Canis lupus familiaris: one gene and its partners. The protein of the gene in region 7 purifies or fractionates together with the protein of the main gene of each other region. This does not show direct contact. Links are inferred from orthologs where the notes say so. Each region holds a gene or a part of one and is shown on either strand. Other genes may lie near its edges. The genes, in order: SLBP, XRN1, RBM8A, CASC3, EXOSC2, MOV10 and UPF1.

The links.
Region 1: the proteins of UPF1 (region 7) and SLBP purify together in Homo sapiens (affinity purification with western blotting; 4 studies listed by BioGRID and IntAct, with this or other methods). This does not show direct contact. The link is inferred for Canis lupus familiaris from reciprocal best matches to the Homo sapiens genes UPF1 and SLBP.
Region 2: the proteins of UPF1 (region 7) and XRN1 purify together in Homo sapiens (affinity purification with western blotting; 4 studies listed by BioGRID and IntAct, with this or other methods). This does not show direct contact. The link is inferred for Canis lupus familiaris from reciprocal best matches to the Homo sapiens genes UPF1 and XRN1.
Region 3: the proteins of UPF1 (region 7) and RBM8A purify together in Homo sapiens (co-immunoprecipitation; 7 studies listed by BioGRID and IntAct, with this or other methods). This does not show direct contact. The link is inferred for Canis lupus familiaris from reciprocal best matches to the Homo sapiens genes UPF1 and RBM8A.
Region 4: the proteins of UPF1 (region 7) and CASC3 purify together in Homo sapiens (co-immunoprecipitation; 5 studies listed by BioGRID and IntAct, with this or other methods). This does not show direct contact. The link is inferred for Canis lupus familiaris from reciprocal best matches to the Homo sapiens genes UPF1 and CASC3.
Region 5: the proteins of UPF1 (region 7) and EXOSC2 purify together in Homo sapiens (affinity purification with western blotting; 3 studies listed by BioGRID and IntAct, with this or other methods). This does not show direct contact. The link is inferred for Canis lupus familiaris from reciprocal best matches to the Homo sapiens genes UPF1 and EXOSC2.
Region 6: the proteins of UPF1 (region 7) and MOV10 purify together in Homo sapiens (affinity purification with mass spectrometry; 3 studies listed by BioGRID and IntAct, with this or other methods). This does not show direct contact. The link is inferred for Canis lupus familiaris from reciprocal best matches to the Homo sapiens genes UPF1 and MOV10.

What each region holds. Positions count from the first base shown.
Region 1 is NC_049224.1:62,917,211-62,921,469, reverse strand, and holds the start of SLBP (histone RNA hairpin-binding protein), read right to left. Parts: upstream 2,801-4,259; 5' UTR 2,681-2,800; coding exon 2,622-2,680; intron 2,523-2,621; coding exon 2,406-2,522; intron 1-2,405. UniProt on the Homo sapiens protein: RNA-binding protein involved in the histone pre-mRNA processing.
Region 2 is NC_049244.1:38,642,693-38,646,192, forward strand, and holds part of XRN1 (5'-3' exoribonuclease 1), read right to left. Parts: intron 3,416-3,500; coding exon 3,348-3,415; intron 3,058-3,347; coding exon 2,920-3,057; intron 1,195-2,919; coding exon 1,128-1,194; intron 923-1,127; coding exon 817-922; intron 1-816. UniProt on the Homo sapiens protein: Major 5'-3' exoribonuclease involved in mRNA decay. Required for the 5'-3'-processing of the G4 tetraplex-containing DNA and RNA substrates. The kinetic of hydrolysis is faster for G4 RNA tetraplex than for G4 DNA tetraplex and monomeric RNA tetraplex.
Region 3 is NC_049238.1:59,380,387-59,384,370, forward strand, and holds the start of RBM8A (RNA-binding protein 8A), read right to left. Parts: upstream 2,801-3,984; 5' UTR 2,739-2,800; coding exon 2,672-2,738; intron 2,397-2,671; coding exon 2,337-2,396; intron 2,214-2,336; coding exon 2,136-2,213; intron 1,995-2,135; coding exon 1,858-1,994; intron 1,517-1,857; coding exon 1,380-1,516; intron 1,281-1,379; coding exon 1,235-1,280; 3' UTR 1-1,234.
Region 4 is NC_049230.1:22,374,961-22,379,032, reverse strand, and holds the start of CASC3 (protein CASC3), read left to right. Parts: upstream 1-1,272; 5' UTR 1,273-1,332; coding exon 1,333-1,563; intron 1,564-1,931; coding exon 1,932-1,959; intron 1,960-2,274; coding exon 2,275-2,312; intron 2,313-4,072. UniProt on the Homo sapiens protein: Required for pre-mRNA splicing as component of the spliceosome. Core component of the splicing-dependent multiprotein exon junction complex (EJC) deposited at splice junctions on mRNAs.
Region 5 is NC_049230.1:53,357,402-53,360,901, reverse strand, and holds part of EXOSC2 (exosome complex component RRP4), read left to right. Parts: intron 1-941; coding exon 942-1,118; intron 1,119-1,700; coding exon 1,701-1,829; intron 1,830-2,304; coding exon 2,305-2,385; 3' UTR 2,386-3,500. UniProt on the Homo sapiens protein: Non-catalytic component of the RNA exosome complex which has 3'->5' exoribonuclease activity and participates in a multitude of cellular RNA processing and degradation events.
Region 6 is NC_049238.1:63,618,773-63,623,028, forward strand, and holds the start of MOV10 (helicase MOV-10), read right to left. Parts: upstream 2,801-4,256; 5' UTR 2,780-2,800; coding exon of another isoform or gene 2,730-2,779; intron 2,598-2,729; coding exon of another isoform or gene 2,415-2,597; intron 1-2,414.
Region 7 is NC_049241.1:44,646,267-44,649,326, reverse strand, and holds part of UPF1 (regulator of nonsense transcripts 1), read left to right. Parts: intron 1-536; coding exon 537-618; intron 619-2,205; coding exon 2,206-2,367; intron 2,368-2,501; coding exon 2,502-2,719; intron 2,720-3,014; coding exon 3,015-3,060. UniProt on the Homo sapiens protein: RNA-dependent helicase required for nonsense-mediated decay (NMD) of aberrant mRNAs containing premature stop codons and modulates the expression level of normal mRNAs.

The DNA of each region.
Region 1 (4,259 bases), on a different chromosome or scaffold from region 7:
TCCCAGCTACAGAGGAACCAAATGGAGGGTTGTCCAAAGCTGGACCTCACTAGCGGACCACGAGGCTCAGGTCTGGGCCACGAAAGGATCCTGAACTCTTAAAAGGAGCTTACAAATGACCTTCCACTACATCACAAACTTTCTCATACAACGATAGAAAATACCTCTTGTAGAACTAAAGCCCGTGTTTTTTAGAGTAAGCACATTGTATTCACGAACTTATCCTACGCCTTAGCAGAGGAGTCCTTTCAGGGAAAGTACCCACATTCTGCAATAGAAATGCACCGGGCTCTCCTGCAGGTATCTCTATGCATCTCCCGGGCACCACCACAGTAGACGGGGCAGACAAGCACTACCCACAGAGCCAAAAGCAAGAGCCAAAGGCATTGCTGCCACTGTAGATGAGTAAGGAGACCTGTGTGGCTAACTACTGAGCTAGAGGGGTACCTACAGGGATACAAGAAACTTCTAAAGCAATGTAAGGATTTAACATTTTCTCCTCAGCTAAACGGGAGACCCCTGAAGACTCAGATCTTTATCTCAATGGTGTTTAATGGCTTCTCTTAACATCCAGCTCCAGCACCGTCCAGACCGTCTCCCACACTCTGCATCTCTTCCCACATATATCTTCTGGCCCCAAATCTCCAAAAGGCTGAACTATGCGCTGAGAGGTCCCACTCATGCAGAACGTGAGCACTTCTGCATCCAAACTCAAGCCTCATTAACTACCAATGCCTTCCCCATGCCATGTCTGCTCTACCCCCACCCTCTTCATCTTAGCAAATGGTCCCACAAGGAACAAAGGTGTTTAGAGTGAAACACAGTTATCCTAGACCCCTCTCTGAACCCCGGCCCTGCCCCATGAGCAAGTGTAAGAACTGTCCTAAAAAGTCTAGTGTGCACCACACATTCTTCCCCACCTCCCTTTCCCCTTGTCCTTAAGTCAGGCTTCAGACAGGCCAATCATGTCCCCTGTTGAGGGGCTTGGCACACAGACTCTGATCGTCACCTGGTCACCACACAACGGTTGCCAACAGAGGCATTCCCTGCCCGTGGACTTCACCACTGCCCCTGGTTTTCTTCAACGGTTCCTTGTCCCATGAGTAGCGGAGCCACCCACATCAGAGTACAGAGACAAGAAAACGGGGGTGGGGTTCGCACAGTGTCCTAGCCTCCCCAGCACATCACCGAATAAAGAGCTCACAGGAATGCTGCAGCAAAGGCTCCTCGGAGAGAAAGTGCCAGGGAGCGCCACAGGGAAAAGGAAAGCGGAACTTAAACCCAGTTTGCATTCTGCATACAGACGCCTTTTCTGACTGTGGGATGACTATCTTTAAACTGATTCTTCAGGAGACCAACCTGACGAGCTGCACTGAAACATTCTAGGAAATTCAGGGCAGCCTCCCACGCTGTCCCAAAAACCCAAGAAGGCTCACTCACTGAGACCAGCTCCCGTTGACACCTGTCACTAGAGACCTTCATGACATCTTCAACCACATCACATGACATGTCAGTACCTTAATAGTCAAATGTCAGAAGACACAGGCTTGTTAATTAGCCAAGCATTTGAAGCACAGGGGCCTTAACTAGTCAGATACAGAGACCAGCAGGCACCACGACTAACCAAGTGTTGTGAGGCAGCGGCCCTATAACTAGTGAGGTGCTGTGACGCACAAGCACCTTGATCAATCAACTGATGTTGAGCCACAGACACCACAAGTGGTCAGGGAGGCCACCCACAGCTTCCATAACCAATCGGGTAGGGGCCCACAGGCGCCTTAACCAGTCAGCTGGGGCTCCCAGGCGTCTTTACCCAGTCGGGTGGGGGCCCCCAGACACCTTAACCAGCCAAGTGGGGACCCAGAGCCTCTTCAGCTGGGTGGGGGATCCTTGGGCACCTTAATCAGTGGGGTGCGGGCCGCAGCCTCCTTAACCAGTTGGGTGGGGACCTACAATCACTTTAACCAGCTGGGTGTGGACTCTCCAGGGGCCTTAACCAGTTGGGTAGTAACCCACAGCCTCTTTAACAAGACAAGTGGGGAATCCGGGCACCTTTACCAATCGGATGAGAATCTTTGGGGGCCTCTACCAGTCAGGTGGTGAGCCACAATCTCCTTAAGCAACCAAGTAGGGACCCTCGGCGCCTCAACCAGCCGAGTGCAGACCCCATCTACTTAATCAGCCACACAGAGACCCCTAACCCCGAGTCGCCTCGAGCAGCCAGGAGGAGAACCCCCACCCCGCGACACCTCGAGCAGCCATGATGAGGACCCCCACCCCCGGCGCCATCGCTAGCCCGCTGCAGGCCCCCAGGCGCCTCAAGAAGCCAGGATGAGGGCCTCCCTCCCTCCCAGTGCCATCACTAGCGCCCCAGACCCCCAGCTTGCGCAGCGCCCCGGGCCCACCTGTCGGGCCTGCCGTCGCCCTCGGGCTTCACTGGGCCCTCGGCGTCCTCGGGCTTCCTGCGCTTCCCGTCGGCTCTGCGCTTCCGTCCAAGGCTCCATCTGGCGGGGGTCGGCGGGCTGCAGACGAGAGGCCGCGTCAGGGGTAAGGCCGGCCGCGAGGACACCCCCCACCCCTCGGCCCGCCCGGAACGCCCCGGGGCGCGCGGTCCGCCTCACCTGGCGTCGCCGTCGCGGCGGCTCCCGCACCCGGAAGGGCTTCGCGGTCGGCAGGCCATCGAGCGCGGCGGCGGCGGGGTCCTCGGGCGGCGGCGGGGTCCTCAGGCGGCGGTCCCAGGGCCGGCGGCAGCAGCGGCGGGGGCAGCGGCGGGGGCAGCGGCGGGGGCAGCGGCGGGGGCAGCAGCGGGGGCAGCGTCCTCTCCCGCGCCGGCGCTGACAGGCTCTGCGCGCGCGCCCCGCCCCCAACCGCCTTTATGTGCCGGCGGCCCCGCCCCTCGGAGCTCCCGCGCGCAGCGGTGGGCGAGACCATCGGGCCCAGGCCGGCGGGGGGGGCCCAGGCGGCGGCGCGCGCTCCGCGCGGGGACAGGGACCGCAGCGCTGCCACGGCCTTCCGGGAGACGGCCGAGCCAGAAGAGGCCCGAGGAACGGTGCCCCCCACCCCCAAGCCTTGGGACGGCCCGGGCCGCAGCCTCCGCGAGCAGGGCGTGGGGAGGGGAAGGGGCCTTGGCGGGAGATTCGGACACGCGCGCGTCGCAGGCGCTGAGCGGGGCCGAGGAGAGAGCGCGCGCCTGATTGGCCGAGCCTTCCGTGCAAGCGGGAAACGGGCACCCGGAAGGGGAGGACCCGGAAGGGGCGTCCCGGTGCCTAGGCCCTGCGGCGGCAGCTGCCCTGGTTTCCCTGCCGAAGCCGCCCGCCTCGCCTGCAGCAGCCATAACCACGGCGCTTCACTTCCCAGTTGGCTTCTCCCGGGCCCAGGGCGAGGATCAGGAAAGACAGGACATTCCAGTACGGACTTCAGACGAACATTTATTAAGAACCGTCGCACTCAGCTACAATAAATTCCCCTTTATAAAACTTTCCCTAGTAGTAAAAATAACCCGACCCGGCCTCCTCTGGCAGCCCGTGAGCCGGGGCTGGGGCTGGGCTTGCCGGCCCCGCCCCGATGGCCGCCAGCTGGGTCCCTCACCTCAGCGGACACAACAGCTGGGGGGGGGGGGAGGGGGGAGCGCGGCTTAGGGCCCCACGCGTGAGCCCCCGCACACATACACCCACAGCCACGTGGGCCGGGCTATTCCTGCCCTCCCCATGGGCCACCAGGAATGGGGAAGAGGCACGTCATTCCGCTCCAGGTGCAGAGCTGTGGTGGGCCCTGTGCTATGTCCCAAAGCACTTGTCCGGATGTAGGATGTCTCAATACCCATCTCCGGCCAGGAGTCAGGCCTGGCCTTTTTCGGGGCTCCTGGGGCAGCAGGAGGCATGGAGGTGCATGCCCTCCAGGAGAAAGGCAACCCCCGCCCCCCGCCAAGCATGCAGCTGAATTACAGGAGTTGATGGAAGCCAGCCCGACAGGAAGTCCAGAACCTCTGGGGAGGGGGCGTAGATAACTAAGTAGGGGCCACCCCACCCAGGAAGCCCACATAGTGCTCTCACCCTGAACTTGCACCCCTCTCTCTGCATCCTCACAGCAGCCTGGTGGGGTGCAGAGGGGACACTACCACAGGGCCAGCAGCCAGCCTGGACTCAGAAGCCTGGAGGACAGACTGCAACCAGCTTAGATGAACCTGGTTCTGGTGTGTAACTGAGAGGCAGGTGTGCTGCATAAAGTTAAGGCAAGTGGTTCAGGGTAGGGCCATGGAG
Region 2 (3,500 bases), on a different chromosome or scaffold from region 7:
CAAACAAACAAAAATAACCATTTTCTACTTGCCAACTTTTTATCACAGGAATCTAACACGTCTGTTAACATTACCTTCTTCAAAACCATAGCAGTTGAAAGGCTGACATTATGATAAATAAAATCTAATTTTTTAGGGGAATCCCTGGGTCGCTCAGTGATTTAGCGCCTGCCTTTGGCCCAGGGCGTGGTCCTGGAGTCCCCAGATGGAGTCCTGCATTGGGCTATCTGCATGGAGCTTTCTTCTCCCTCGGCCTGTGTCTCTGCTCTCTCTCTCTCTCTCTCTGTGTCTCTCATGAATAAAAAAATAAAATCTTAAAAAAAAATCTAACTTTTTAGATTTTAAAATTAGATTTAAATCTAATTTTAGGGGATCCCTGGGTGGCTCAGCAGTTTAGTGCCTGCCTTCGGCCCAGGGTGTGGTCCTGGAGTCCCAGGATCGAGTCCCACATCGGGCTCCCTGGATGGAGTCTGCTTCTCCCTCTGCCTGTGTCTCTGCTTCTCTCTCTGTCTCTGTCTCTCATGAATAAATAAATAAAATCTTAAAAAAAAAAAATCTAATTTTAGATTTAAATCTAAAAAATCTATTTTTTTCTATTTTAAAGTAAAAGCAGAATGCCTGGGTAGCTCAGCAGTTAAGCGTCTGTCTTCGGCTCAGGGCATGATCCTGGAGTCCCAGAATTGAGTCCCACATCAGGCTCCCTTCATGGAGCCTGCTTCTCTTCTCTGCCTATGTCTCTGCCTCTCTCTGTCTCTCATGAATAAATAAACAAAATCTTTAAAAATAAAAAAGTTAAAGCATTGGTTAAAAACGTACTCAGATACTACATCAACTCCCATCTTCGTCATGTAGTATGTTCTTTTATATTGTCTAAACTCAGTTTCAAACAGGTCATCATCTTCAGTCTCATCTTCTAAATTATCTGGAAAAAAGGTCAGAAAGTGGCTGACAATTACAAATATTTTGTTTTTCCACCTATCTCTTTGATAAATACATATCAAAGCAGATGCTTATAAACTAACACAGAAATCTGTTCCATCTAATATTATTAAATCAGTGCTTACTAAGGAAAGATACAATGACTATTCTGTCAAAAAAATAACACAACGAATAGAGTTTGTACTCACCCTTAGAAGTTACCACTTCTTCTCCATTTTTGTCTAAAGCAGCCCAACATATGGCATTTTCCTGGCCCTACAAAAATTATAAATCAATATAAAATTAATGCAAAGATACATTTCAAAGTAAGACATTGAACTGGGATATTTAAAAAATACTACAAAGGACTGAATGATCCTTAAGTGACAACACTGTAAAAGTTCATTCAAAAAATAATCCTCAAGTACTGTATAAATGTTTTCGGTTTTGTAGCACTTCTTTTCTAAATCTTTATTATGCAGAACTTAACATTTAGGCTGCTCTAAAATATGTAATAGGTATTTCTCATCTATTGTGTTAATATAATCTATTTGTTCATGATTGAATCCAAAGGTTACAAACATTACATGTTTTCTATTCTCTACTTCTAAATTTTTTCTCTCATGCAATGCATTTGCTTTTCTATATTTATCCCATCTCATCACATTCTTTATATCCTGCCCATCTGCTTTTCCTCCCTTGTGATCTCAACTTTTCTTTCCTCTATTTTCTGATTGCCTATCTATCGACAGTGACTTAGTTCTTCCTACTCCCTTATCCCCATTTCCCTTTGTTCATCCAAACTAGGGTCTTTGCTAACTTCCTGTGCTTCGGCTCTTCCTCTAGTTTCCCTCATTTTGCCAGTATCTCTAACAGTAACTACATATGCCTGAAGACTTGTGAAGCTTAAGGACTGGGCTAAGACGGGTGGAGCCAGGGATTACTGATGTGTAAGTTTTGTGAGTAAAGTATAGATTCCTAAAAAGTTGCTGAGCCTGTTTCTATAAGAGAAAAAACAAAGAAGAATGTAGACGGACTGCTCCTTAGTTTCACTGAGAAAAACTAATCAATTAGAAGGACTACTCTAATGAAAATCAGCATAAATGCCCTTCATGGAGCAAGAGTTACTAGCTTTGAACCTAAAAAGAACCAATATAGCAAGGAGAGTATAGAAAATTCCTCAATTTTATCTGAACCCAATAATTACAAATAAGCTGAGGAAAATTTCAGAAAAGGTCTATTTCCCAAGTTAACACATACAAGACATTCTTTAGAGCTCATTAGTGATATTTCGTAGGGTACTAGCATATTCTGATTCTACTATTTATTTATTGAGCACCTAGCATTTATTAGCTATTGTGCTATTACTTACTCTTAAACTAGCCTATAGCTGTATTTCATAAATGACTTTATATATAAATTATTATTTTTTAAAGATTTTATTTATTTATGGGAGACAGAGAAAGAGAGAGAGAGAGAGAGAGAGAGAAGCAGAGACACAGGCAGAGGGAAAAACAGGCTCCATGCAGGGAGCCCGACGTGTAAGTCGATCCCGGACTCCAGGATCATGCCCTGGGCTGAAGGCAGCACTAAACCACTGAGCCACCCGGGGTGCCTTATATAAATTATTTCTGAAGAAAAACCACAGGTCTAATTGCTATCTCAATATTAAATGTTAGAAGTAGACATATTTTACAAAAGATAATTAATTTTCTAGGTTCTTATATTTAGAAGATTTTCTACACTTATTAATAGGATGAAAACACAATGCTTTTCTTCTAGGATAAAAATAAGAAGCTGATTTTTAAAAATCAGCTTTAAGTAACAGGATCTAACAGAGAAGAAACAAAAAAAATTTTTTTCAAATGTTCAATAGAAGAAAATAAGAAATGAAAATGAAATGAGGCAACTCCAAAAATCACAAGAGGGAAATGAGGAACAAGGAATATCAGTTTCACTTTACAGCTAGAAAAATGAAAGAACACCTAAAAAAATGGACACCTTTGACTTCTTCTTTTCCTTGTAGTTCCTGGCTTCTTCTGCTGCTACACCTGCTGCTTCATTGAGGTACTTGTTACCAACTTTGCTTTCAAACCACTTTAGGTCCACAAAAACTTCACTGAAGTGTTCCCGATCAAACTGTACAAAAATATTTAAATTCATTAAAAATAATTTAAGTATGTCTGGAAGAATAGAAACCAAACTTTTAACAGTTGCTACTTCTAGGGCATAAGAAATCAAAGAATGTTACTCTCTTATGGGCTGAAAATCAAAAATAAAAAGCAAATAAAAATAAAAGTAATTTAGGTGAAATTATACAGAAGGATCAGTTGATGTAAAAGTACCAAAACTTTTTCTTCTGATATAATTGGTTTCTGCCCATTTATAGCTACCCTGGGACAAGAAAATAAAAATATCTAGTTACTTACGTCTGATAGTTTCACAAGGTATTTCTCAAATCGAGGTAAGTTGAGATGCCCACTTTCATTAATATAACCTAAAAGGAACAAAATCTAAATTTGTACTAAAAGCTGACACTATTTTTTCTAAACAGTTCTACAAAATTCTTTTTTACAAAATAT
Region 3 (3,984 bases), on a different chromosome or scaffold from region 7:
TGATGCTGCCAGTATTTTCTAAATGCCTTCAATTCTAACCAGCCTCTAGCCACCCTCTGAAGCTGAGTTAGCTGGGCAAGGATTAAGGAGAAAGGTGATTAGTATTCTGCTTTAGTCTTAGACACCATCAAGTCTTCAAGTAGACTTAGTAGCTTCATAGAACACCACACCTCAATCAAAACCTCTTCTCCAGCATGTCTGTCATAATCCCTGAGGCGGGGGGGAGAGCATATATTCCCAGTTGGGGAAGAAGAGGATTTGCAGCATTACCACCTATTTGTCATATCCTCTTCCCTGTATCAGGAGAGCTCCAGCTCATCATCTCTGCCTATTCATCTGTTCACCCTACACTCAATTCAGAAACTGAGTGATTCTGAATTTGAGTATGTTTTCTAAAATCCCAGCCCCTGCCAGTGAATTTGCCCTCCGCCGCTCCTTAGACAACCGCTCCTGTGTACGTCTGCAGGCCCTGCGACTGGCCCTGCTGGTCTTGCTGACCTTCGTCTTCTGCCGGACACCTTATTACCTACTGGGCCTGTGGTACTGGTTCTCTCCCACCATGCTAAATGAAGTCCCCCCCCAGCCTCAGCCTCAGCCACATCCTTTTCCTTTTCGGCCTTCTCAATGCTCCTCTGTATCCTCTCTTCTATGGGGCCTTTACCCTTGGCTGTCAAAGAAGGCACCAAGAACTCAGTATAGACTCTTCTAAGGAAAAAAGATTCTGAGAGAATGCCCTGACAGGAAATGCAAACCCTTAGACAGCTGGAAGTACAAACAAATGTGGCAACAGAAAGGACAGGAGAAACAAGAGACATTCCTATAACATCCATTTGCTCAGACAGAGTATACAGGAACAAAGTAACTAAGCTTTTATAACACCTCACTTCTACCCCTGCTCTCTTAGCTTCTAAGAAAAAGAAATACTTTGACTCTGAGACTTGAGATATCTAATGTAGAAATTCACACAGAATTGAGTCCTTAGAAGTATCCTCATAGTGACCCATACTACCTTACTGTAAATAATGCTTCAGAGCTTGCAATGTTAGAAAAGGAAAGTAATTTTAAATGTACAAAACAAAAAATGGGACATTTATTCATAATTCAAAAAAAAAAACCCCACTAAGTAGGATAAGAGATTAAATATAAACAGTGAGTTCCACCTCAGCCCTATTTCTCCAAGGCTGCATGGTCAAAGAGAATCTCTGGAGAGAACATCTGGACAACAGAGGACCTGTCAGCGCCGCCTCCTGTCTGGACTCCTGCTGCGTCTTCGGCCACCTCTAGGGAAAAGGAAGGGTCCATCAGGAACATAATACAATGTCCTTATTCTGTTCTGCTCATGTTCCCTTCACCAAGATAGTTTGCCCTCTCCACTTTACCTCCTCTTGCCCTTTGGCGGACCCCGAACAAAACACCAGTCCACACTGATCGGCTGTCCCATCAAATCCTGGCCATTGAGTCCCTCCATAGCAGCCTGGGCTTCCTTGTATGTTTCATACTCAACTAAAGTATATCCCTGGGATAAGTGAAAAGACAGATCAAAACCCTCATATTCCAAACACTACTGAGCATCTTCTTCCTCAGATCTAAACTCATACTCAAATAGAAATATCTATAGACTTTATACAACAGATGTACATCATATATCCTTACTGTGTATATATTCAAAATATGTTTCCATCTCTTTGCTGTGTCTGACAAAATCAATTTTCTTTTTTTTTTTTTTTTTTTTTTTCAAAATCAATTTTCAATCTCATTTATTTCAACTTTGCTCTTTGGCCAATCAGAGAAAACATGGGAGAACTACCAAAGCTGTCTAAAGGTTGTGAGGGAAGAGAGGCAACAACAGTAGGATACCTTCAAGTATCCTGTACGCCTGTCCAGGTTGAGGTGGATATTTTTTATCTCCCCATATTCTGCAAATTTGTCATGGATGTCTTCTTCGGTGGCTTCCTCATGGACTCCAGTGACAAAGAGAATCCAGCCTTCAACAGCTGTTGGGGAAGGGAAGGAGGTTTGTGCACAAAAGAAAAACTTCAAGCAAGATCACAAGAGTGGATTAAGGTATCTCCGACCCCACTCCTACTGGGTTTTATTTCATAGGTCCATAATACACTAGTGTCCATCTCACTTACAGCGTTGCGGTCCGGGTTCATCTCCATCCTGCTCCACACTGTCATAATCCTCACGCATCCGCGCTCGAGACCCTTCTTCTATATGGAACATACAAGAGATCACCAGAAATCTCTTCTACCACTGTTCCCCATGAGTGTGAATGGGGACTCCAAAACTCGTAGCTGTCGCCATTCTACACCATTTTCCCCACAAACACTCACCGGAGCCAAAGCCGCGGCCCTTCCGTTTCTTTGCCTTTTCTTTCAATTTGTGGATGCTCTCTGGATCCCCAGAAGTGAAAGAATGAATAACAAAAATAACAGGTATTTACAACAATAGTCTCTTTACGGAGGCATTATCTGAAAGCAGCCCCACCACCTCCAGTCCCATTTCCCTCCCGGTCCCGCCCCCATTCCTCCCGAAGGGGGCGCAGTCTCTAATCCAATCGAAACTCAGTTCTACTCCCAGCCGCCCTGCCGGGAAGGGCAATTATTTTCCTATTACTCCCTTCTTTCGCACCTTCCCGGCTTCCCGCAGCTGCCTCCACTGTCCTCACCGTCCCCATCTTCATCCATGGCAAAATCCTCGCCCCCAGCCTCATGAAGGTCCAGCACGTCCGCCATCTTGCCTGCCTTCTTACTCTCGTCGGTGCCGCTCAGGCACTAGGCACCTCGGGAAACTGTCGCGGAGGGGAAAGGTCACTAGTCAAGCTGACCAATCAGAAGCTAAATCTAAGTCCCGCCCCCGGCGCGGTGAAAATACGCAAAAGAAGGCGGGCCTAGTTCCGGAAGATGTCGGAAGTGCTCCTGTAGCCATCTTGAGCAGGTGGCGAGCTGAATGGAGTGGTGCTCTAAGGGACAAGCTAGTGGGTAGGTGCAGGCAGCGGCTTCCTATTAATTAGGGCAACCAAGGAGAAATACTGTAGTCAGCGAAGCACAGCCCAGTTTCTCTATTAGAGGATTGTTTTCTGTCTCCTTGGACTCCATAGGAAATGGAAGTTGAATTTTTTTTCTCTCTCAAAACTTCTAGACCCGTAACCTGTTTTGAGGAGCAGCTAGCTGGGTCTGTGATGGAAACATTTTTAAAATAGTTCATTCAGCAATGCTAGCTCAAAAAGCCGAGTCTGGCTCGTACTGCAGCGGCGAATTTCTCTTAAGGAAGCTAATCTTGTGAATTAGGATTGCTGAGACGGCTATCGGCTGCCTTTTTTTTTTTTTTAAGATTTATTTATTTATTTTATGATAGACATAGAGAGAGGGGCAGAGACACAGGAGGAGGGAGAAGCAGGCTCCGTGCCTGGAGCCCGACGCGAGTCTCGATCCCAGGACCAAAGGCAGGCGCCAAATCGCTGAGCCACCCAGGGATCCTACCCCTCCCCCCCCCCGCTTTTTTTTTAAAGATAAACTCTCAAACTCTTCCCACCACCTCCAGGAATTTAAAAGAAAAAAAAAAATTAATGGCTTTCAACAAAATGGGGACTTTCAACAAAATGGGGACTCCGGCTTCTTTGGGAATGGTGTAGGTATTTCGTGTTTCAAGACCCATATTGCCCGCAAAGTTCGGAATCCTGATGTAGGCCTTCAGCAATAGTGGACTGCAGGTTTTCATATTATTTTTTTAAATTTTTTATTTATTTTTAATTATTTATGATAGTCACACAGAGAGAGAGAGACAGAGACACAGGCAGAGGGAGAAGCAGGCTCCATGCACTGGGAGCCCGACGTGGGACTCGATCCCGGGTCTCCAGGATCGCGCCCTGGGCCAAAGGCAGGCGCCAAACCGCTGCGCCACCCAGGGATCCCCTTCATATTATTTTTTAATCGAACAGTTATAATGTGTGTACCTAGTATTAGAGAAGGTGCTGGCAGT
Region 4 (4,072 bases), on a different chromosome or scaffold from region 7:
TGAACAAATTGCTTGTATTCATTTAAAAATTGAACCCAGACCAAACAACTGAAAGGTAAAGTGGCAGGTTATCGCTTTCCTTATTTAGACACTAAACTTGGCAGCTTCATTTGCATCAATTTACCTTATGATAGAAAAGATCCTCCAGATCTTCCTTTCTTTCCAACACTTATTAAATCATACATCCTCCATTTGAACTCTGGCAGCTGGGTTTTGGAGCTGGATTTACAAGTTGTCACATTTGGCCCCTTGTTTAACTAGTTGAGATCCTTTTAGATCCTGAATCTATCTATGAAGGCATTCAGATTGGCTTCTAGTTTCATATTGTCTATAAATTTGGTAAATATCAGATCTTTAGCCATGTAGTTTTTAAGAAATACTACAGAGGACAGAATCCTGTGCTTTGCCATAGTGACCTTTCTCTGTTTGATACATATCAATAACGTGCACTCCTGTAGGTATGCTAATCACTTAGCTTATGCATCTTGAGTATATTTATTATGGTCCAAAGAAATTAAGACTTTTTTTTTTCATTGTTGACCATGTCTTGCCAAAACCCAAGCATTCCTCTCATCTACCGGTCTGGTAACCTTTAAGAAGGAAATCATGTCAAGATACTGAACCAACGCTTGTTCCCATCATCATCTCTTTTAGAATCAGTTCCAAAATCTTGGCTGAGTCTGGCATCATACCAGCCTGCACTTTGGAAGAGGTGATAGCTGGGGTGGGAAGATACAAGATGAGGAAATGAGAAAACAAAAACATGGTAGTGATGCAACACTAAGTCCTCGAGCTTCACTGCAAACAATTGCTTTCTCCTTCACCTTTTAGCTTCAAATGGGCTGCTGTGGCAAATCTGATACATCACAACAGCTTTAGAGGTTTACCTTGACTGATTTTACCGAGCAAACGAATGCAGTAAAATGATCTGCTTCAAACGTAGGTAGAAATGAGAAACGGAAATAGAAAACTATGAAACAGCTCCAATGCCGCAGCGAAGCTGTAGCAGGTGGGCGCCCTCCACTCGGAAGGCCCAAGATGGCTGGGCGAGGAACCGGAGGCGGCTGCCCGGAGCTCAGCTCCCCACGCCCGGGGCCTACTCGAGGGAAGACGGGGTCGCGGAACGCCCCCGGTACGTCACCGATTACGTAATCCCACTCGCCTGCAAAAGTGCCGCAGGGCGGCAGCCCCGCCCCTAGCCCCTCCCCCTGAAAAGCGCGGTGGCCCGTGTCGCACGTGAAGCATGCTGGGATTAGCTCTCGAGCCTCCCGGCAGCCCCTGCGACGGGCGCGGTACGTAAGGAGCTGGCCGGCGACGGCCGTTCTCCGTAAGATGGCGGATCGGCGGCGGCAGCGCGCTTCGCAGGACACGGAGGACGAGGAGTCTGGTGCTTCGGGCTCAGACAGCGGCGGCTCCCCGGCGCGGGGCGGCGGGAGCTGCAGCGGTAGCGCAGGAGGCGGTGGCAGCGGCTCTCTGCCTTCCCAGCGCGGAGGCCGAGCTGGAGCCCTTCATCTGCGGCGGGTGGAGAGCGGGGGGGCCAAGAGCGCTGAGGAGTCGGAATGTGTGAGTGCGCGCGGGTGGGCCGGGCCGGGGGGCGGGGTGTAGGTGGTGAAGGGACGCTGGGAGTTGATGGTAGATGCTGGGGCGTATTGTGTTAGAGAAGAGAGCTATCCCAGTGCAGTGTGCATCCGGAGCCCCGAGGGAGGAGGTGGTGTTGGGGTTTCTGGGGGAAGGGCAGACCCGCTGCACGTGAAAAGAGGATCTTTATTCAGAAATTGGGGCTGGAAGTGAAGAGACCGGACCTCCCTCGTTTGCTACTTGTTAAAGATGTACCTTTTCTCATCTCCCTTTTCAACCATTTTGTGTTGAGTTTTCAGTTCCCCACCCTCTGGGTATCAAGGAACTAAATCATGTCATCTTCTTTCCTTCAGGAGAGTGAAGATGGCATCGAGGGCGATGGTGAGTAACATCATGACAAGTATTTTGCCCGTCAACTCACATCACCTATTTCCACCAGTTGACATCCTCTCAGACCGTTAAGGATTTGGGGGCGGGTACCACTGAGTGGCTCTTTGTAACACAATGCCTACAAGCTTACGTTTTAGCAGTATGATCTTGGGCAAATCACTCATTGAGCCTGTTTCCCATTTGTAACTGGGAATTATGATTTTCTCTCTCTGATAGATTGATGTCAGAATTGAACGAGGGTCTTAGCTTGACTCAAAAAGCAGTGAGTAATAACTTTTTTCTTTACATATTTCTGTTTCCTTTCAGCTGTTCTGTCGGATTATGAAAGTGCAGAAGACTCTGAAGTGAGTGTGATAGGCTTTTTTTTTTCCCTATGGTATATGGGTTGGAAATTTTTTGATGTATTTTAAGAACGTGTATACACCTGTGGTTCAAAAGTACCATGACCTCCTTGTTATTTCTCTTGTGCATTCTTCATTTATGTTTCTCAAAAACTGTTATTAAAGGTCTTGTTTATTTAGAGTGAGAGAAGTTTGGTGCATTCCACATCAGGTTTCATGTGTTAGTACTGTTAGTAGTTGGCTTTTCACCCTGTCTGAAGAAAATAAGTTTCTAAATAAGAGAATGAGAACATCCTGAAGCCCTTCACAGAATAAGAGTTCCTTTTATGCTAGGAAGTGAAACCAGCTAATTGAATTTTTTTTTTTTTCCAAGTGTATGTGAAGACCTTAAAAGGAGAGGATCCTGAGTTGTTTGTATCAGAAATATCCCTGTTTCTAGGGAGCTTTCTCCCTCCTTAAATTCAGGAGAAAATATCCATAAGCCAAGCTTTTGTGACTTTATTTGTTTTGGTTAGGTGAACTACTAGAGATGCTATTTGTTTCCTGGGGTTGAATAAAGTCCTAATTTCTGGAATTTGGGTCATGAGGTTATGGGCAGGAGGAATTGGATTGTGGATCAAAGGTTCATTCTGTAAGTTTTGTAGAACTGTTACTACATATTAGATTTCCATTACATCCTGGAGATGCAACAGCAAACACTATACTAAAATTTCTGTCTTTAGGAATGACTTAGGAAGTCAGATAAACATGCAGGCAGTCCTACGAGTTGGTGACAACTGCTGGGGATAGGCTTAAGCTTAAGCAGGGTGTTAATGGCTGAGTACTGACTCCATCTTAGGCCGTCGAGAATAAGTTGGAGTTAGGCCATGTTTTAGGCAGAGGGAACAACAGCTGTGAAAATCCAGACACAGGAGAGAAAACTGAATATTTGGAAACTTGGAAGTAGTTTGGTGTGGCTGGAATATTGTTAGGATGGATACCAGAAATAAAGGCTAATTAGTGAACAGGGATCAGATCATGAAGGGGTTTACTTGTTCCTTTTCTTCATTATGCACCTGCTGTATGCCAGGAGTTATACAAGGCACTAGAATAAAAGACAAACATAGTTCTGCTCTCCTGGAATTTACATTCTGGGGAAAAATAGACAACTTTAAGCAAGTAATTACAGTAATGTTTGGTGTCGTGATATCAGAAGCACAGGGCGCTTTGGAAGCACATGGCAGGGGCAATGAATTGTTTGGAAACGCTTAGAGGATGGGATGTTGAAATAGAGACTTGAAGGGTGAGTAGGAGTGAGCCAGGCAGTATTCTAAGCAGAGGGAACACTGTTTGGGAAGAAGGTCTAGAAGGGATGGACTGCATGACAAATTGGAGAATATGAAAAGTTTAGTGTGACTGGGGCTAAATGATGAGTCTGAGTCCAAATCTTAAAATACCTTGTAAGCCTGATTAGAATGTATTTGGATTTTATTCTAAGGAAGTAAGAAAGCATAACAAGGTTTTAAACAAGTGTGATATGGATTAGACTTAAATTTTAAAGAAGTGTTTTTCAGAACTAAGGAACTCCTGCATCAGAAAATCCAGTTGGAAAAAAAAAAAAAGAAAAAAAAAGAAAAAAGAAAATCCAGTTGGCCAGTTCTTTTTTTTTTTTTTCAGTTGGCCAGTTCTACTGAAACAAAATCTTGCAGAGGGAGGGAAGACTCAGGCATTTATGTTAACAAATCCTGGATTGATGCTTATGCACAATAACATTGAGAATTATT
Region 5 (3,500 bases), on a different chromosome or scaffold from region 7:
TTGAGCTTAAATGAAATGTCACTGCTTTCTTGTATGAAGTTACATTGAGGCTCTTGCTGTTTTAATGACTGCATACTTCTTTTAAAGATTCACTTATTTTAGCAAGAGAGCATGCACGTGGCGGGGGGGGTGGGGGTTGGGGCAGAGGGAGAGAGAGACAGACTCAGACTCCTCGATGAGCACGGATCCCACAAACCCGAGATCATGACCCGAGCCAAAACCAAGAGCCAGGTGCCGAACCGACTGAGCCACCCCAACGTCCCACGATACCATATTTTCTAAAACAGATTATGATTTATTAGTCTTTTGGCTTTATGTGGGCGAACCTTTTCATTTCCTGAGTGGCACAGAAGCGTGTTTCCTTGTGGAGTGGCTACAGTCACCACACTCACAGCCTTGGAGCAGGAGGTGGAACAGCTGTGCTGTCTTAGCTCACCCTCACAGGCCTGGGTACTGCAGACCTTCCCTCAGCGGGCTGGGGACTTGAGCTGCCCTCCCAGGATCAGGGATGGTTTTGCATCCAGCCCTTGGCCACTCCCCTTGCCCAGTGGCACATAGCACACATTTCAAAGGCACAGTAGGTGACTGGGATAGAGGTGGAACAGAACAGCGCACCTTGGCTCACAAGAGGCTTGGACTCACGTCCTCATGAGCTCCAGCTTCTCCAACTACCAGCACACCAAGCCCAGATTCGAATATAATGCTAAGGGCAGAAGAATGAGAGGAGTATTGAAAGTCACCTTCTCTTGGAGCGCATAAACCACCTCTGCATTCGGAAGTGTTCTCTGGGAGTAATTAACAGTGTGTGTACACCCGGGACTACAGTCATTAATAGGAGTGGCCCTAGTCCTGCCATAACTAGGATGTGTGTTCTGTGGTTTGCTTTTCATGCACTTCACTGATAACCCTTCAGTGACTCGGTTTGTGCCCTCTTTCTTTAGCTGGGCCAGGGAGTTTTGGTCCAGGTTTCTCCCTCCCTAGTAAAACGGCAGAAGACTCACTTCCATGACTTGCCCTGTGGTGCCTCGGTGATTCTGGGTAACAATGGCTTCATCTGGATCTACCCCACACCTGAGCAGAAGGAAGAAGACACGGGGGGCTTCACAGCACACCTGGAGGTGAGTGAGCATTGCCGCTGCCGTCTCTGTACATCTGGGCTCGGTAGGGCTGGCTGTTTGAATTTTTTTATTTTTTAAAGATTATTTATTTGAGAGGGAGAGCGCATGCACAAGTGGAGGGAGGGGCAGAGGGAGAGAGAATCTCAAGCAGACTCCGTGTTGAGTGCAGAGCCTGACGTGCGGCTCTGTCCCTTGACTCTGGGATCATGACCTGAGCTGAAACCTTAACAGCTGGACACTTAACCAACTGAGCCACCCAGGCACCCCCATAGTTGGTTGTTTTAAACCATGTATTTGCTGTAGTCTGGGTTTGAGTCTCCGTTGAGGGGTCTTCATAGCATGATCTGGCCTTCTCTCCTGAAGAGCTAAAATGGAACTGGCTTGATCTCTGTTGGCAGAGGTGGCAGGTTGCAGGGTAATAGCAGCTGAAGAGCCATCCTTTTTAATCTCCCTTGGAGTTAGCAGTTGATTGGTTTGGAGTCCCGGAGGGATCGAGCTGAAGTTATAAACGATTTCTGTGATTTGCTGTGACTGTTCATGGACTTCAGTTCTAATTGTTTACCTTTGCCTCCCCACTGGTAGCCCATCTCCCTCGCCGACCGAGAGGTGATCTCCCGGCTCCGGAACTGCATCGTCTCGCTGGTCACTCAGAGGATGATGCTGTATGATACCAGCATCCTGTATTGCTACGAGGCGTCCCTTCCACATCAGGTACTCCATCCAGCCACGCCTTCACTTGTTTTCATGGATCTGTAAGTTGACAGTGAGTGTTTATGCTCCCTCAGGGATTGCAGGCACATCTCCCAGATACCTTCACCATGTCCAGCGGTAGGAATTGATCTGCTGGACAGCCCTATCAAGTGTCTGGTAGATCTTTCCCCAAGATACTTGTACTGTTCGGGTGTCTAGTGTCAGTCTAAGGATTTGGGGCTCTGCGCTCAGCACAGAGCCTGCTTGGAATTCTCCATCCTTCTCTCTCTGCCTCTTTCCCCACTTGTGCATTCTCTCTCATTCTCTAAAATAAATCTTTATTTTTAATTTTTTTTTAAATAAATAAATCTTTAAAAGAAAATGAAAGGGATATAGAAGGTTTATGGTAACCATGCTTGGTTTCTGCCTCTGGATTGGCTTGATGCTTATGGTTGGTGTCTTTTCTGAACAAATACTTTTTTCTTTTCTTTTTTAGATCAAAGACCTCTTAAAGCCAGAAATAATGGAGGAAGTTGTTATGGAAACACGCCAGAGGCTTTTAGAACAAGAAGGGTGAGGAGAGACATCTGAAGGACAGGACAGTGTGCACCTGACCGGAGCAGTTTGAAAAGTGAAAGTGAAGAATCTGATCTGGGGTCCCATATGTGGCTCTGTGGAGAGCTGTGACACTCATCACTTGACCTACATCAGGCTGCCTCTGGTCCAAAGACCTCCTTTTGGCTATTCTAGGGCAAAGCCTGGGGGAAGTGCTACCAGCCCCTTGGGTCGCCCACAGAGTCCAGCACTAAGGGTAGTTTCAGGCCTTTATTTTTATTTTTCAAAGTTTTGTTATTATTATTCCTTTTTTTTTTTTTTTTAATTAACTTTCAAGCCTTTAAAAGCACACAGTGTTGCAGCCAAATGGACTGCTATTCAGGAATGCTGGAGAATCCTTTTCTTCTACTGACCATCAATTCACAAGGCACAATGCCCCCATGAAATTGCCCCTATAAAAAACACAGCCTCCCTGACCCCAAAATTGTGTTTTGGACTCTGTTCCCCCTCTGCAGCTCAAGTGCAACATTGAAGAATATAGTTAGTAACTTTTTTTGTTGTTGAGACCAAGAGAGCCAGTGGGGATGGGAGGGTTGGGGACCTTAAGCAGGCTCCATGCCCAGTGCAGAGCCAGTGCGGGGCTGAATCTCATGACCCTGAGATCATGACCTGAGCTGAAATCAAGAGTTGGACACTTAACCAACTGAGCCACCCAGGTGCCTGTGTACTTAGTAACATTCAGCAGTAGAATGGAAGAATAAAGTCAACCAAGCAGCCTTTGCTTGGTTAGAATCTCATTTCCCATTGCATGTTCCTTGTAGTGATAGATTCAAGGATATCTACGCCAAGCTGCCTTAATCTGATCTGCCTTTAAGAGTGATTTGTCAGAAGCCGAGTAACTGATGATAGAATAATGTTCAGGGTTCTCTGAGGAACATGAAAACAGACTAAGAAATGCAGATGCGAAAAGAACTCTTTTTTTCCTCCTGTGATTGAAGTAGTAATGCGTTAACTTTGTAATAATTCAGGGTTAAAAACAGGTTGAAGTTCTCCCTGAAGAAAGCTAGAATTTCCTCTGCATTGGTTTTCCTAATGACTGTAGAAATGGTACTCTGATTCAGGTTTGGGAAGCATTTT
Region 6 (4,256 bases), on a different chromosome or scaffold from region 7:
CTCAGGTTTTTTGTTTTTTTTTTAAAGAATCTCTACACTCGGGACGCTTGGGTGGCTCAGTGGTTTAGCGCCTGCCTTCTGCCCAGGGCATGATCCTGGAGTCTGGGGATTGAGTCCTGCATTTATTATTTATGAATAAATAAATAAAATCTTAAAAAAAAAAAAAAGAATCTCTACACTCAACACGGGGCTTGAATTCACGACCCCGAAAATCAAGAGCGGCATGTTCTACCGACTGAACCAGCCAGGTGCCCCTCTAAGGTTTTTTTTGACTGGATCTCATGACAGACTATGAATCAACAAGTAAGCTTTTTCTCCTCCTTCTCCTCTGAGGGCTGAAACTACCTTAAATCTTCAAATCCAAAGCCCCGGTCAGTGCCACCTTCTCCATGAATTCCCTAATTACAGAGGGGTGGTACGGTATTAGCATAAGAAAACATAAAATTCTCTAATAATCATGAGGGGAAGTGGTACCTTGTTTGCATAAAAAACAAGCGCATACAGTAAAAATAACTTTGGAGACCCCTTGAATTCAGCCATAATGTAGATTTTATCTCGTTTTTGGGTATGCAGTGACCATATAGCCTGTTCTTCCCCAGGGCTGGATAGTACGTATTGTGTAGCTTTAGTTTAGAGACGATGATAAGACTCTCTCCTTGGCCAAACTTTAGTCAGGCTCCTCTGAACCCCTGTCTCCACTAGGCCTCAACCTTGCCCCCAACCCCTTCACGTGTCCTCTTGGGAACTTCCCATGCACTGACCCCTCACTCTGCTGTTGGCTATCAATTCTCAGCAGTGTTGCTGTGTTGGGAGTAGAGCTCTCTCCTCTACTACAGTAACCCTACAGCGAGAGTCTTAAATCAAGTCTTCCGCACAGGTCTAACAAGCATCCAAACACCACATTCTGGGATCCCTGGGTGGCGCAGCGGTTTACGCCTGCCTTTGGCCCAGGGCGCGATCCTGGAGACCCGGGATCGAATCCCACGTCGGGCTCCCGGTGCATGGAGCCTGCTTCTCCCTCTGCCTGTGTCCCTGCCTCTCTCTCTCTCTCTCTCTGTGACTATCATAAATAAATAAAAATTAAAAAAACAAAAAACAAACACCACATTCTCTCACAGAGTCGGAAGTAGTAGTTGACTTGCGTTCAGAGGCCCGCGGGACTCCCATCCTGTGGACAGAAGTGAATTCAAGGATGTGCAGAGCTGATAACGTGTCTCAACAGTAATTGCTCTTTCCTTACTCTTCTTCAGCAGGTTTCTTACCTCTATCCTATTCCTGTTACTTTACCATTTATGATAGTATATGGTCTGCAGCAGAGCCCATGCTCCTGGAGCCGCCTGCTCCCCTGGGCCCGGTGGTGTTCTTCGTATTCCCCACGGTGCCCAGCCCAGGGTGAGGGCGCCAACGGGTCATAATCGTTGCCCCTTCCCCAGTGTTGCTCCAGCCTGCTAACGCCCCTCTTAAAATGTGACACCCGTTACCAAAAAAAGAAAAAAAAATTCGAGATATGCTCCGATCACTGTGGAGCCACTCCGTCCTCCCGCAGCCCCCCACGCCCCTTCCATGAACCCAGCCTGACCGCCCTCGGGTCTGCCTGAACCCAGAGCCCTTGTCAGGGGGGCTGGCGCGAGGCCCACGTCCCCGCCGCCCCGCGTGCATCCTGCGTGGGTCCTCGCGCCCGTCCCCGCTAAACTGTGCCGTGGTTTTGGGCCGCGGCCGCAGCCTGTTGATAGGTGTTCCCCGAGGCACTAGTCTGTGGTTCTCCAGGGAGGAGCGTCTGACCTGCACTCGGAGGCTGCCAGGAAGGGGCGGCCCGACAGCCCCAGCCACGGCGGGAAGGGCCTCGGGAGCCGGCCCCGGGTCTCCACGGAGGAGCCACAGGTGCCAGTGGAGGTCTGGCGCGCACGTAGCCGACGCCCCGCGCCTCCGGGCCCAGCTGCCCGACGTCGGCCAGGCCCCCCGGCTCCGGCTCCGGCTGCGGCTCCGGCTCCGCGGGGGCGGGCGGGGGTCCCCGCGGAGCCCGCGCGCCCGGGCCGCCGCAGCAGGGGCAGCTCCCACGCGGCCCGCGGGTGCCCGCCCTCCCCCCCGAGAGGCGCGGGGCCGACGCCGGGTCCCACCCTGGCCGGGTCGGGGGGCCGGGCCGGGGCGAGGAAGCGGGGGGCGGGAGGGGGGGGTGTGCGAGGGGGGGAGGGAGAGGGGGACGGCTGCGAAGGGGGGGAGCAGGGCAAAGAGAGGGAGGGAGCCTGCGCCGCCCCCGGGCAGCTCGCGCCCGAGGGGGAGCTGGTAGCGCCGGGGGCGGGACGGGCCGGGGCGGGGGACGGGGCCGGACGGGGCAGGGCGGCCCGCGGCGGGGGTGGTGACGGCGAGCTGGGCCCGCGCACCGGGGCCGGGGGCTGGGCCGGGCCGGCCCGTACCTGATCTTGAAATCCCAGTTGTAAACGGTCCGCAGCCGCTCGCGATCAGTCTCCATGTCCAGTCCCCGCTCGACCAGGAAACTCTCGAAGCGCTGGCCCGTCTCCCGGAGCTGCCGGCAGCTGAACTTGCTGGGCATCGCGGCGGCGGCTGCGGCCCAGGCAGGAGGGTCCGCGGAAATGAAACTGAAAGTCGCCGCCGCGGACGTAAGTTGGCGGCCCCGGGGCGAGGGCGAGCGGGGGAGCCCCCAACTCCGACCCCCGGCCCCGCAGGCGCCCCTCTCCCCCGCGGGCTCCCCGCCTGCGTCCGCCTCCTACCTGAGCCTCCCCTCCGGTCTCTCCGTCCTGTCCCCTCCCCCTCCCCGCATTAACTCTTTCCTGAGTCTGACCCCTCCCTCAGGGCCCTCCCCTTACCCCAAGCTCCCTCCCCTGGCTTCTGGCCAGAAAGCGGTCGCGGCCACCGCCCGGGGCCCCCGAGCCGCCCGGGAGGACGTCCGAGCCTCCGCCGGGGCTGCTCCCCCGCCTACCCCCCAGGGCCTCGGTACTTCTGCAAAAGCGGGAGAGCAAAGGGCAGGGGCCGGGGCCCGGGGTGGCCGCGGCCGGGCCGGGGCAGGTCCTGCAGCACCTCCCCCAGACAGCCGGGGACGGAAAGCAGCGCGGAAGCGAGCGGCACGCCCCCTCCCCCTCCCCCTCCCCCCTCCCCCCTCCCCGGGCTTTCCGACGCGGGGAGTTGTCTCTGAGATAAGGTGTGTACGTGGGGGAGGCGGGACAGGGGGCTCCGCCGGCACCGACAGGCATCATCACTTTTTCCCTGCCAGCCACACAGGCTTTCGTTTCAGTGGAAGGGCTGCTGATCCCTGCCCTTGAGCTACAGATTTGGGCACTTAATTACATTCCAGTCGGTGTTGCTCTTTAATTGTTACTAGTGTATTAGCAAGGGTTGCCCCAGTCATCATGCCAGCCTGAGAGCGAGAGGCTCTTCTGTGAGGCAGTAACTGGTTAATACCTACAGCATCAGTACCAGGAAGAGAAGTGAAAGAGCAGCGCGCTTCGGAAGACTGACTATTAAGCAAACTAAAGGGGGTGGGGCTCCTACCAGAAACACAAAACAAGCCTCAGCATCTGTGTGTGCTCCCTCGTAACAAGAACACACACACTAGAATGGGGCAAAGATAATAACAGTTATATAAAAAATTTAAAAAAAAAATATACCAGAGTTACAAATATATCAAAGGTAGTGTTGTCCTCCAAAGTAGTGCCCGGTGGGAGGCCACACACTCAACCTAACCCAGGGTGAGGAATGTCCAGAACCCAGGCCACGCTCCAGCTGGGCAACTCTTGTGCCTTCTCCCAGGCCAACAACCAACCAAAGCCAGGAATAACAGATTTTAGCAACAGGAAATGCAAAGTCAGTAGGAACCAAAGCGAATGGGGAAGTTCTTAAAATTTATGTCTTAGAAATTGATTGTGCAAAGTAGAGGAAAACACTAGGAAGATAGTCCCTTTTTACCCTTTTTGTCTGCAATTACCTGGTGGGTCTGAGCAGGAGTTATTTCAAAAACCTTCCATCCACCACACCCACACTGAATGTCTAGCTCCATTCTGATACACAGATCTAAGTCCTCATTACTCCTGGATCCTGAATGCGCCCCCACCCCTCCGCTTCCTGGTGAGGCCCATGTCCTAGACATTACCAAAATAAGCAACAATGCAAACAGCCATAGTACATAACCAACTTGAGTAAAAACGTGATGTGGCTGTGTTTACAGTGGAACTTCTCTAAACCAGTCTCATCTAGAAAACTACAATTCACACATGGGGTTTTAATTATTTTCACACATGGCT
Region 7 (3,060 bases):
ATGGAGGAAGACAGGGTCAGGAACCCTCTTCTCCCTCAGACTGGTGTTCCTAGCACGTGGCTGTGAGCAGTAGCAGGTGTAACCAGCGACCGGTGTGAGCTGAGGCTAGACATGCATGTCCATGTGCACGAGAGTGATGGAGCTGGCCTGTTGTCACAGAGCTCCCCCACCCCAGGTCTCTCAAGTGTTATAAGGCGCTCTCAGACCTGGCCTTTTAGGACACAAAGTCATGAGTGGTGTTTAGGAGTTGGACATAGTGAACCCAGGGTGCTCTAGGGGACTTAGAAGCCATGATGTTGCTTGAGGTGAAGCCTGAACGTATCTATGTTCAGCATCAAAGGTCAGGTCTGTAAAAAAAAAAAAAAAAAAAAGGCCAGGTCTGTGGAGTAGGGTGGGTGAGGCCCAGAGCCCACTGGTCAGCAAGCCCCTCAGGGTTGGCCTAGGCATGGCCTGGGAGGTGGCCGGGCCCTCAGATCTTAAGAGAGTTCATCTTGTGTCAAGGTGATAAATTCCTCACCTATCTAAACCCTCTGCAGGGAGCCCGCTTCATGACGACAGCCATGTATGATGCCCGGGAGGCTATTATCCCAGGGTCAGTCTATGATCGGAGCAGCCAGGGTGAGTCTGCTGCAGGAGGAGGGGTGGGTGGGGTGGGACCACACTGGCCCTGTGCATGTTGATCATTCCCACGCCTGCAGCTTTTGGCCCTATCACTCCTGGGGTGACCTCCCAAGCCTCAGTCCGCAGAAACTGCCTCACAAAGCTCTTTGTTGCCTTCCCTTGTCTGAAATCAGAGAATTGGTTGTCAGTTTCTGAATACAAATTTTTTTCTTTTTAAGAGTTTATTTATTCACGAGAGGCAGAGATATAGGCAGAGAAGCAGGCTCCACGCAGGGGGCCCGATGTGGGACTCGGTTCCAGGTCTCGAGGATCACACACTGGGCCAAAGGCAGCCTCTCAACTGCTGAGCCACCCAGGTGTCCCATAAACCTTTTTTTTTTTTTTTTTTTTAATACCAGAGCTCTGCTTATGGAGGTTTGCAGGCACATACTGCAGCCCTGCCTGTTTGCCCCTGTGCCCCATGCCATAGTGCTCCCTGCCTACCTTGCCCTTTGTGCCTCCACTCAGTGGGGGGGTGGGCACTCCTGCAGCTCCTCCAGGCCACCCATAGCCTCAGTTCTGGTTGCATGGTCCTTCTTGTTTCTGTGTACTCTCTGAGACCACACTTCTGGGTGGGGTCTCTGTCCTGAGGCTGAGCCTTAACCCCTGCTGTATGGAACACCTCCTCTTGCCTGAGCCAGTGTCTAGACGGTTCCCATTCATCTCCCAGGTCCCTGTCTCCTAAGGCCTTTCCCTGCCCTAGCCTCTACAGAGGGTGACTGGCTCACCCAGGTGCTTGGTGCCACAGCCTGCATTTTACACTGAGCTTCATCTCCACCTGGGCTCACTGGCCATCCTGGGGCCAGGTACACCCCAACATTTCCTCTCTTGTGTGAAGTAGGAAAACCCCCTTTCCTTGCCTAGTATTCTGGTTGCTGAGCTCAAGTGACGGATGTCATTGCTACATCCAGTGAGTTGCTAGGTAGGGTGCTCTGGGCCCATCCTTCATCCTTGAGCTTACCATGGGCCCAGATAAGGCACTTTCAGCCTTGGGGGTGGTGGGGGGTGGCGGGGAGCAGATCATAAGGCTTTGCTGTCATGCCTTGGCTCCCTTTGGCTTCCCAGCCCCTGGAGCAGCTGCGTGCAGATGGAGATATGCCTAGCTCTGGGGCTACCTTGGGGCCTTCATCTTCAGTGCCATTCACTGGTCTGTTCACTCGGGTTTTTTCTTGCTTTTGGGTGGTGGTGGAGAGTGGGGTGCAGGTTACACGAATATAAAATTTTCCCTTTTATTTTTTCAGTTGGAAATGCAACTTAGCTTTAGTCTTTTGGATGCTGGTAGGCCGTGATTCTCCTAAGTCCCCTTGGAAAAAAGGCTTGTTCCCAGGAGCCAGCCCCAGAGAGGCTGTCAAGAGTGGGGATTGAATTGTGAGATTCTCTATCAGGTGGCTTTGCTGTAGGGGTACACCAAGAAACACCATGGCACTCAGAGCAGTGACAAGATGAGATTGACATTCCAACTGTTCAAGCTGCCATTTGTGGGGTGGGCAATTGGCTCATTGGCATGTGGTGGGTGACACCTGCTGTCCACCTTGTGTCTTGCAGGCCGGCCCTCAAACATGTACTTCCAGACCCACGACCAGATCGGCATGATTAGTGCAGGCCCCAGCCACGTGGCTGCCATGAACATTCCCATCCCCTTCAACCTGGTCATGCCCCCCATGCCACCACCAGGATATTTTGGACAAGCAAATGGGCCAGCCGCAGGTGAGTGCCAGGTGGCAGCATGTAGGCAAAAAGCACGTTGGTGTTGGAGTTTGTGCACATCTGGGCTTTGGACAGTTGGGTTTGTTGGTTGGATGCTGACCTCCTTCAAGGAACCCTGGACTTCTGTCTTTCAGGCCGGGGTACCCCAAAAGGCAAGACTGGTCGTGGGGGGCGCCAGAAGAACCGCTTTGGGCTCCCTGGACCCAGCCAGACGAATCTCCCCAACAGCCAGGCCAGCCAGGATGTGGCATCGCAGCCCTTCTCCCAGGGCGCCCTGACACAGGGCTACATCTCCATGAGCCAGCCCTCCCAGATGAGCCAGCCTGGCCTCTCCCAGCCCGAGTTGTCCCAGGTGAGCCAGCAGCAGGGAAGTCAGGATGGCCTGGGGGGGCCCTCCACACAAGGACCTGAGCATGGCTCCGCACAGCACCCTCCGTAGGTACACCATGTGGGTGTAAGCTCTAAAACCTGTCGTTCTCTACACTGTCTTAGGCAGTTGGCCTGGGTTACGTATGTTCTTTGGTGAGGTAACCAGTGTGGATCTCCTGCCACTTAGGCTTCACCAGGTTTTCCAGAATCTTCTCTGGAGCAGGTTCTTGAGGCTGGAACAATACATGCACATCTTAGCTCCCAACTTTGTTTTTCAGGACAGTTACCTTGGCGATGAGTTTAAGTCACAGATTGATGTGGCAC